2 linked regions of the Bombyx mori genome follow. The protein of the gene in region 1 purifies or fractionates together with the protein of each later gene. This does not show direct contact. Links are inferred from orthologs where the notes say so. Each region holds a gene or a part of one and is shown in the gene's direction. Other genes may lie near its edges.

The links. Proteins that work in one complex are often made in the same cells at the same time.
Region 2: the proteins of cdc42 homolog (region 1) and formin-binding protein 1-like purify together in Drosophila melanogaster (affinity purification with western blotting; 4 studies listed by BioGRID). This does not show direct contact. The link is inferred for Bombyx mori from reciprocal best matches to the Drosophila melanogaster genes Cdc42 and Cip4.

Annotation. Positions count from the first base shown.
Region 1 is NC_085107.1:13,963,366-13,969,167, reverse strand, and holds the start of cdc42 homolog, read left to right. Parts: upstream 1-1,914; 5' UTR 1,915-2,063; intron 2,064-2,268; exon of another isoform or gene 2,269-2,465; intron 2,466-3,857; exon of another isoform or gene 3,858-3,927; intron 3,928-4,023; coding exon of another isoform or gene 4,024-4,401; intron 4,402-4,797; 5' UTR 4,798-4,892; coding exon 4,893-5,070; intron 5,071-5,149; coding exon 5,150-5,259; intron 5,260-5,396; coding exon 5,397-5,594; intron 5,595-5,802. Other genes in the region: uncharacterized protein LOC134199721, read left to right, coding at 4,024-4,401. UniProt on the Drosophila melanogaster protein: Regulates mbt kinase activity and is also required to recruit mbt to adherens junctions. Together with mbt and Frl, regulates photoreceptor cell morphogenesis. Together with Frl, has a role in the neuronal development of mushroom bodies.
Region 2 is NC_085121.1:6,512,517-6,517,889, forward strand, and holds part of formin-binding protein 1-like, read left to right. Parts: intron 1-167; coding exon 168-218; intron 219-1,156; coding exon 1,157-1,301; intron 1,302-4,198; coding exon 4,199-4,350; intron 4,351-5,373.

The DNA of each region.
Region 1 (5,802 bases):
CTGTGACATGACTATTGAGATTGATCATGAATTATTCCATACATATTGCCAGGGCTATCGAAAAGAATGTGTCCTTCATCTGGAAACAAAACATTATTCCCAAGGGATAGGTATTTATTTATAACTGAAGTCACATGTAGAAGCTTCTTATAAATAACACACTGCATAAGCCAATGTTTATAATTTATTTCTGTAGTATAGTTTTGTTTAAATATTTTTAGGTATATGATTTATAGTTTTTATTAGATAAGAAAAAAAAAACCATATAGATACATACATATTTTTATATTTATAAATTCATTCACTTTTTTAAAAATAACATACTTATCTCCTAGCCACTCGTGAAAATTTATTTCGCCTTCTGTTGTGTTGGCAGAGAAGTCTGGAAAAGTTTTTCCAAGTAAAAGCATGTTAAAAAATTTATTTTAAAAATATTTTTCTTAGTGTGTTTTGTGTTTTTTTTTTAAGGCAAATCACTCAATATTATAAATCAAATTATACGTCAGTTAAACGCTCAATTCAAATACAATACACTAAATATACATCTATGCTTGTTTTTTAAATGGAGTACAAGTATTCTTCTTTTATTTTTATTGCCTGCCAGATTTTCAAAAGAGGTGACAAAAATGATTCTTGACATTAAGAAAGTACGTCAAATTTTTTTTAGTCGATTTTATAGTGCGCAATTTATTCTATGAACGATGTAACAGCATTTTATTGCATAATACTAATTGCCAACTACTATTTCACAACGAAAATTGGTATATGATTAAATGAGTATGTGACATAGATTGTACGATTTACCTAATTGTTACAAATATTCAATGTTATTTTTTGTTATGGATTTATTTGCTCCAACAATCATTATCAAACTTCACAGTGAATATCAATAAATTAGTTTCGTTTTTGCACATCCGATTTTTATGTTGGTCTGTAGGCTACTTTTTTCGTACCAATACTTATAGCCTTGAGAAGCTATATTAGCGTTACCCTTGCGTGTAGGTGAGCTCTTGGGGCTCTAATAAGGAAGTTGCTAGCACTGTCCCTAGCAAGAGCAGTGCTTCGCAGAGTCTACCACCGAATTGGAAACACGACCCATTGAGAAGATCCAGCGACGAGCTTAGTGGTCTGTGTCTGTGGGTTAATTTACTCGCCGAGCACGGCGTTGCAAGCGATGGGTTCAGTGGGAACGGTGACTGGTGCTTAAGGTACCTAAAAGAACCGTTTGTATCGGGAGGATCCGTAATTACGTGTTTAGGGCAAGGAGGCTTCGTTAATCACTTAACTACTACTACTACTGAGCTGGCGCTATGACCCCGAAGTGGGTCTCGGCCTCCGACAATAAACTTTGCCATTCATCCCGGCGCTGCGCAACATCTTGCCAGTCCGACACTTGGAGCTCCCGTAAATTTCCTTCCACAGCGTCATCATCACTTAACCCGTCTATTTAATTTAAAGTATAGATAAATATTTGATATTACTTAAATTACGCAATGATTACATCAAATTACTAAAGCATTTATTTCAGTAAGTATTTAAAGGATAGCTACTTTCTGATAACTACAGGTGAGAATTTTCGTTGTCCTATACTTTGTAGAGCTCAAATGATTGACCCTCCAAAACTTTACTTATATCAGTGTTAATTAAGTACACTCTGATTCTTATTGAATCATATCAACGGCCTCGGATCATGGAACACGTACCTACTTAAATAATTATGTACGCCTTCCATTTATGTGTAGTATATGATTATAATAGTTTTAAAGAAGCATATGTTTTAGATTTAAAACAAATATTGAAATTAACTCAGCAATTCGTTTAAAATAAATATTTTATTTCCATTTTGTTAATATTTTTTTACTAAAGGTACGATAAAATCGATTCTCTGACTGTTGACATTCGGACCATAGACAAATTTCTAGGCATTTACTGCTCTATTCAATCAATGGCGTCACACCGTCAATGACCCAACCCGCTACTTGGAGACTGTAACATTCAACATTTCCTATTTACAACGTGGTGTTATTGTATTCATTTGAAATATTTATTATCTTCGTAATTAGGTAAGTGTGTAATGAAATGAAATTGATTACAAATAAGGTAAAAACACCATATTAGTGGTTGTTGTCGAGCACAACACAAAATGGACGTCAAAATTATTGTGACGTGATTATGTAAAAAAAAGCAAAAATACTTCAAATATTTCTAGAAAGTTATCGTTTTTTTTAACACTATACCTATCGCTTTAATTTCATTCTCCGTAGCCATTGAATACTTATACTCAAATAGTACCACGGGACTGAAAGGTAACAGGAACTCGGAGGCACTTGTCTTGCGGACGACAAACACACCCTGTTGGCTGTTATCGGTCGCTCGGCTACAATACTATCTCAGGAAATAGTTCTTTGTTTTGTGCTCGAAATGTTCTTTAAAAGCAGTTTTCTTTTAATTCGACCCTTTTAAAGGTCAATGCCCTTTGAATGTGTTCCTATTTTGTAGTGTGCTTGGCATTTCATTTGCTATGCGACGTATGAGACCCTGATTATCGCCGAGTCGGAATGCAGTTTGTGTAATGCACTTAAAGCTAATTAGTATGGGTGTCGATCGCTTTTGTTTTTAACTATTAACATTTTTAAATATATTTTTTTCCTCCTAAATAACTGTATTTTTGTTGGGCTTCTAATAACAATTCGTGAATTAGTTGAAGATTTGGAAAAAGTCAGTAATAACATTCAGGTCAAGGACTGCTAGATTTAAAATAAAAAATGGTAAATTATTTAAATCAATTGTTGATTTCAACTTAACAGTTGTAGAATTGACTGTATTCTACCCAAGGAGCTTATTTCAGTTGTCAATTAAAAAGATTTCTTAATGCAATAATGAATTAAGAGTGACTGGATATTAGAATGCAGCTTAGGAGGATAATGGTATCTTTACAATGATTAAAAATAGTTTTAACTTCTCATAATATTAAACTATGAACCAGTGTATCCCAATACATGGAATAAACAACATTACTCATCTTCATTTTCTCATGATTTATTCTCCTCAATTTTTTTATATTAAAACCTTTATAAGGTATATTTAAAGTTATATTTAAAGGCTTAACATATTACCAGGTTACTGTTTAGCTATACATATATTCAGTCGTACTATTATATTCAATAAAGTAAAAGTAAGACAAATATTTTATTTTACTGTTATCACCAAAACAACAGTAATACTTGCCTAAGCGAAATTTCTCAATGTGGATCATAAAATAACTTAACACAGTGAAATCATTAGTTGAATCAAAATGTTCATAATACCATTAATAGTAATCACAATGTATAGATATTTTTACCCATTTTGAAAGATAATATTTGAAACTGCTACATTTTAAATCAGATAATGTTAATGTCTAGGTAGTTGTAGGATGAATGGTGATAACAGGGAGTATGAGCTCCAAGCTGTATCATTGGCATAATCATAAACCATGTGTATATTAATTTTTATTAATACAAAATATGTAGAAGTTGACTTGACATTTAGTTCAACTTTGAATAACAGTATACGACCTTCATATCGCTGGATCTATTAATTTAATTTTGAATAATCTATTTTATCATTCTTAGTTAATAATGTGTGGGTGTGGGTATTTATTAGAAACATTGCATCACATGCTTAATAGTAATATTTTATTTTAATTCTGTTAAAAAGAAAATTATAAACTAAGCAAGTTTGTCTGTAACATGATTTTGTTTACAATACAATTTCTACAGTGGAATTTATGCTCGCAATCATAAAAAGAGTATGTAGGTATGTAGTAATAATATATGTATAAGGCTTGCAACTAAGTTCTCGCTGTTTCTCAATAGATGGCTGCAGCAGTAAGTGCTGGTCGATTTTGATAGATCAAATATATTGTGAACCAAGCTTAGACAGATGGTAAATAAAAGAAACATTAAATTTATTGAAAATTATGTTGTTACATATACTTTTGGTTGTGTGAAACTGTCTGATTTTATAACAAATAAGTATCATATGCGGGAAGTGTTTCTTTTCTTCTTTCATTTGAAAAATACGCTGGATGAAGCTCTTCGAGAACTACAAAAAGTTTATGGCAATGCTGCTTTAAGCGAAACTATATGCTGTGATTGGTTCAGTCAGTTCATAGACAGTGGTTTCGATATTGATGACTGTCAAAGTAAAGGAAAGCTAAATTCAACGAAGTCGCTGTCTTCAAATTTGTATCTGATTGAATCAGTGGCTGATGCAAAATCCGCTAGCCTCAGCATAAGCAGTTGCTCACAAAGTCATTTACAAGTTATCACATCTATTGAAAGTATTTCAAAAGCAAGGAGCCTGGATTCCTTATTAGTTAAAGTCAAAATGTTACAAAAAGAAGAGTTATATTCATAGCATTAGCCTGCACAGTTCGGCTGTATACTCAGACTGTGACGATTGTGCTGTGTACTTGGTGGGACCAGGTCAGGAGTATTTATTTTGAGCAGTTGAAACCAAATTGAAACGACCCATAGGGAATGACACCAAACTCAATTAATGTGATATAGCGCTGCACAAAATATGGACATAATATGACATGATATAGTGATTCCCCTGTATGACATCATTAGGCCTCACCTTGCCAAATCCATTTAAACTTACTTTGAAACACTCAAATGGGGTGTCTTACTCTGCCACTGTATACCCCAGATATTCCACCATCCGATTTATATTTATAATTTATTAATTTATTATTCTACTATTACATTAATTTATGCCTATTTTGAAACACCCCCAATTGTTTTGTTCCAGAAACTTTCTATCAGAGTTTGCTATGAACCAAATAGTCCCTATAATAAAAGAAAATTTGGTGTACAAATTGTGAAGAAACAACTAATTGTTTAAAGATGCAGACAATAAAATGTGTTGTTGTGGGTGATGGTGCTGTTGGTAAAACATGTCTTCTGATCAGCTATACAACTAACAAATTTCCATCAGAGTATGTTCCAACTGTATTTGATAACTACGCAGTCACTGTCATGATTGGAGGTGAACCTTACACTCTAGGTCTTTTTGATACTGCAGGTAAAATTTACTATTTATTGGAAATTTGTTTTGGTATGAAAAATTAACATGCATTATAAATTATACATCTTCATTTCAGGTCAGGAAGATTATGACAGGCTAAGACCACTGAGTTATCCTCAAACAGATGTTTTCCTTGTATGCTTCAGTGTTGTGAGCCCTAGTTCATTTGAAAATGTAAAGGAAAAGGTATATTAAAAAGTATTGTAATTTATTATATAATTCATTATATACATGATATAGACTTAAATCAAAGATAGTGATGTAAAAATTAGTAAATAAGATTTAGCTAGTATGGAAACTAATCTGAGTATTTGACTTTCCAGTGGGTCCCTGAAATAACTCATCATCAACAGAAGACACCGTTTTTGTTGGTTGGGACGCAAATAGACTTGCGCGATGATTCGGCTACAATGGAGAAACTTGCTAAAATAAAACAGAAGCCGGTTTCATTGGAACAAGGAGAGAAATTGGCAAAAGAGCTTAAGGCTGTCAAATATGTAGAATGCTCAGCGCTTACCCAGGTATGAAAATATATCCCAAAAAAATATTATTTCTGATGGTAAAAATATTTTATAATATCTGCTCATGCCTGCATACCTGATGTTTGTTTAAAAGTAATATACCTACAAAGATCCAAAGAAAGTAATTAGAGAAATAGTGGATGCCTCCACTCCGATGCTGTACTGTTGCACATATAATATGTCTAGACTGCTTAAGTAATTATAGATT
Region 2 (5,373 bases), on another chromosome or scaffold:
AGTCACGAGAAAGTTTAACAAGGAGCAAAGAACTGGTTGCTCCAGTTTGATTATAAGAACAAAAAAAAAACTGTCACTTTTACTATGCAAATAATATACATATACAAGTTAGTTTTCGATTAAATGATTGCATGTACTATCTATTATAATTGATTTTGACATTGCAGGAGGCTTGTCAAAAATTATCAACCAAAAAGGAAAGAAGAAGATGAATACCAGTGAGTAACCGTTTAAAGAATAAAATAATGTGATTATTGGGATTATGTGTTAGAAGCTTAAAAAAAAGTGATTCTAGTATCTAATTAATGTAGCTGATGCCGTTGTCTTCATGCCCCGATCACCGTTCTCGTCGAACCCGTCGCTTGCGACGAAGGGTTCGGCGAGTAAATTAACCCACAGACACAGCCCACTGAGTTTCACGTCGGATCTTCTTAGTGGGTCGCGTTTTCGATCCGGTGGTAGATTCTGCGAAGCACGGCTCTTGCTAGGGTTCGTGCTAGCAACATCATCAGGTTTAAGTCCTGTGAGCTCACCTACTAGCCCGGTGACGCTGATATGGTCTCTCTCTAGACCATCAGCTTAGGACGGTTTTTCTATTAACTGTATCGCCTAGCTGTTAAGCGGCGACATCCCAAAGACTCCCCAATGTATGTATATGCTTCTGCCTACTTTGAGTGATTAGTTAAAATCTCAATCGAATTGATACAATGGTTGTGAAACACACCACTGCTTCACGGTAGTAATGATGTTACCGTACGTACCGTATAAAGAGAAGAAGAATAGGTAAAAAACTTTCCTTTCTAAGATTAGAAAGATTGCTGCCAGAACCGGATGATAGGAAGTAGCAGAAATATCCCGATCACGAAGCGCCCACGATCTTCGTTTAGAATATGACTAATAGGAATACATTTCATTCTTTTCATCTGGATTTTTACATCTGACGTTTGCCATGGTTAACAAGATGTATAAAAATAACCAAAAAACTTTCAGTTGCTGCAGACTTAACTCATTTTTTGTTAAAATGGGTAATTCGCATTTTAATAAATTTGATTAGAAAAGAATTCTGCTGATGAACAAATAATATGTTTACGTCCTGAGAAACGGAAATGTATTCGAGTAATAAAATCAAAAGCTTTTATTCGTGTTACGTTTTTAGGTATACAGCATGTAAAGCATTTAAACAGTTACTGCAAGAGTTAGGCGATTTCGCAGGACAACGGGAAGTTGTCGCGGAAAATCTTCAATCAAATGTAGTCCGAGAGTTGCACCTGCTCGCCAAAGAATTGCGAGAGGAAAGAAAGGTTTGTTTATAATTTTCATTCACTAGTTTTAAACATGTTTAACGTTTAGAAGCAATTGATTGCACTCCGTTATGCTTAGTATAGTTTCAGTGCTGTATGATCTATATCTATACTTCTATATCTATCTATACTAAAATATAAATCTACAGTGGTTTTTACGGATGTTCCGTTATAACTACCGAACCATGCATCCGATTGACTTGAAACTTGGTATCCATGTAGAAAATACATGTACTTAATGGATAGGCTAATATTTATATGAGTGTTGGACTCCCTACACCAGTTGCGGGGGTGTTAATGATGAGAATCTTTGTAGGGGTGACAAATCATAATGTCAATTTTAAATGCCAAGCGAAGCGGACGGGTACAGCTAGTAGTTTAATAGAAACAAACAAACCTTCAATATTAGCGAATAAACTTTACGATTTTCTAATTATATACACGAGACAGTGAAAATATTGAATGATTTTTGTCCGCAACCATTACTCTAACTAGCAAATTTAAAATAAACACATAAGTTGAACATTGTAAACGACAGTAAGTTGGTTAATAAAATACGACCACGATTCATTGAACTCACATTGCTTTGTGGTCGGTGCGATAGTTTCTTGGAAATATAGATTAATACAAAACGTTATGATGTTTCTCTGTAAACAGTCAAGAGTAGACATGAACTCGCCTATTCCGTACGTGTCATGCTTGAACCCAACTACATTGTAATTTCAGATAAACTACACAATTGCACTAAGCTAAAACTAAAATATTTTGCGTTTCGAATTATAATTACTAATTTTGATTTATTATTTCCTCGCTCCGAATAATCAAAGAAATGTCTATCAGCGTCACATTTCATTATGAGACCCACATACATTTATTTTTAAATCTATAAATCTTGTAAACGGAATGCAAACAAGTTTCTTAAGATATGCCGTTATTTGCACCGCGTTCGAGAATTTCTTCTGTGTATTCCTTTTTATTGCTCGATTATATAATGTATCATCAAAACTGTTTTGTTAATTATCTGGCAAGCAGTTTGGCTGTGCTCCTCGCGTTAACATAAGTAGGCTATACGAGGGTCTTTCAACCACCGCGACACATTGGTGTGTTGCAAACCCCTATCAAGGATATCACGAGATTAACAAATACGATATTTTTATCTAAAGTGACACCACCGAATTCGCATTTCTTGTATGTAAGGGTTTTTTTTTTTTTTTTGCTTAGCTGTGTGGACGAGCTCACAGCCCACCTGATGTTAAGTGGTTACTGGAGCCCATAGACATCTACAACGTAAATGCGCCACACACCTTGAGATATAGTTCTAAGGTCTCAGTATAGTCACAACGGCTGCCCCACCCTTCAAACCGAAACGCATTACTGCTTCACGGCAGAAATAGGCGGGGCGGTGGTACCTACCCGTTCGGACTCACAAGAGGTCCTACCACCAGTAATTACGCAAATTATAATTTTGCGGGTTTCATTTTTATTACACGATGTTATTCCTTCACCGCGGAAGTCAATCGTGAACATTTGTTGAGTACGTATTTCATTAGAAAAATTGGTATGGTATGGTAATGTATAATGGTAAAGTATGGTAATGCGTCGCTGAACAAAAAAATATTGTGAGGTTATAAGATGTGATATGATGATAAGGTTATAAGACGCATACGACTGGGTTGGTCGGCATTTGGGAAATTCCGTGCAATACTCACCTCGCAAATTCCTCAATGCCTGAAGACAAAAGTCTTTAACCAGTGCATTCTCCCCGCTATGACCTACGGCGCGGAAACCTGGACACTGACGGCAGGGCTGGCCCATAAGTTAAGAGTCGCACAGCGGGCGATGGAGAGAGCTATGCTAGGTATTTCTCTAAGGGACAAAATCCGGAACGAAGAAATTCGACGGAGAACCAAAGTCGACGACATAGCTCTCAAAGTTAGCAGGCTGAAGTGGCAATGGGCCGGTCACATCTGTCGAGCCAGCGACGCCAGGTGGGGGAGGAAAGTCCTCGAATGGAGGCCACGGATGGGTATAAGGAGCGTGGGGCGTCCTCCAACCAGGTGGACTGACGACTTAGTGCGCACGGCGGGAAGTCGTTGGATGCGGAAGGCGGAGGACCGCATTATGTGGAAGGCATTGGGGAAGGCCTATGTCCAGCAGTGGGCAGATAAAGGCTGATGATGATGATGATGATGATGATAAGATGTGAAGCCAATCAATGTCAGTAAAAGAAATTGATTAAAAAAAGAAAGTATTGCCAAAATATGAACAGCTATAATTCTTCGGTCACAGGTCTAATAAGATGTCTGGGTGAATAATAAATGTCAGATTTACGGTTGATGTCGTGCTTATCTTGTTTCATTTTTTAGTTGGACATTTCGAATACTTACAGCTTTCGGGGTCACGGAAGGTAAAATTGATTACTTTCAAAAATCGACACCAATATCATGTTAACTGAATGATAAATATATTGAATTACTTATTTTCATTTATTTTTTTAATTGGTGAAATTCTTCAATAGATAAACATGACATAAATTTCAAATTAAAGAAAAATATTTAAACTCATTTTAATTCATACTAACATATAAAAAATCTACAGTGGTTTTTACGGATGTTCCGTTATAACTACTGAACCATGCATCCAATTGACTTGAAACTCGGTATCCATGTAGAAAATACATGTACGTAATGGATAGGCTAATATTTATATGAGTGTTGGATTCCCTACACCAGATGCGGGGGCGTTAATGATGAGAATCTTTGTGGGGGAGAGAAATAATCATGTTAATTTTAAATGCTCAGCGAAGCGGACGGGTACAGCTAGTAAATTCATGAAAATCTAAAGAAATCTGTTATTAAATATTTTTTAAATAATAAAATAAGTTTCGTTTTTTCCAGCAACATTTAAACGAAGGAGCAAAACAAATGGGAGTTCTGAACACTTCGATAGGTTCACTGGAACGAGCCAGGCGAGCGTACGAACGTGCGGCGAGGGAGTCGGAAAGAGCACTCGAGACCTTCCAAAAGGCAGACGCTGACCTCAATCTAAGGTGATTATCTAATAATATTGGCTCTCCCAATATTTCTCTCGACATTTTAAACATCTTGAACGTTTTATGTTATTTATTAGTTGTACAGCTCTTTTAAAGTTGTAGTTAATAATAATCAAGATACGCTGTTTTTGCCATTTGAATATTTGATAAATAGAGGTCGTCCCAAGTGATTTCTACAACATTTGAACAGGATAACGTGTTGAATTGATCAAATTTTATGTAGCACAAATTAAATTTATTATTGTACTTAAAAATAAATTCTTATCTATAATAAATTCTATATTTTTATTTGTGAAAACACGAAAATTTTCAATGTTAATTCCAGAACATAAATAAAATTTAACGTGAACATTTGCAGTAAATGGTATATTTGAAGCAAACGTAACTATACTGACATCTTAGAACTTATATCTCGAGGTGGGTGGCGCATTTACGTTGTAGATGTCTATGGGCTTCTGTAACCACTCGACACCAGGTGGGCTGTGAGCTCGTCCATCCACCTAAGCAATAAAAAAAAATACGTTATACAATCCAAATGGCACACATGAGAGATGCTATACGTATATTTTTATACTTTATTATAAAGGCTTTGAAAATCTTTAAAAGCTTACTACTTAATTACTGTAGTGGTCATCGTCACTGAAGGACGAACAAGCCGATGTCTACTTAAAATTAATACAGTTTACGATTTGATTTAGCTGGGATTCCTGATCGCGTTAACTTTATAGTTGAGTAACATTATACATACTTGGGTACATTTAGTGTTGGCGTCTGCACGTGAACTGTCTACTTAACAGGCGTCGTGCGTCTACAATACATCACGACTGACAGTGCCTTTGTCTTGAACATGACGATATGGATTTAATGCATAATGAACCTTATCAACGTTATAACGTATGCCAATGTTAAAAGGCAAATTTATTTCAATTTCACATTATAAGGAATAGTCTGTCTAGCTAATGATAAAAAGATATGGGTAACCCTTTTTTTCCCCCCTTATTCGTTGCGATGTCCATGGAT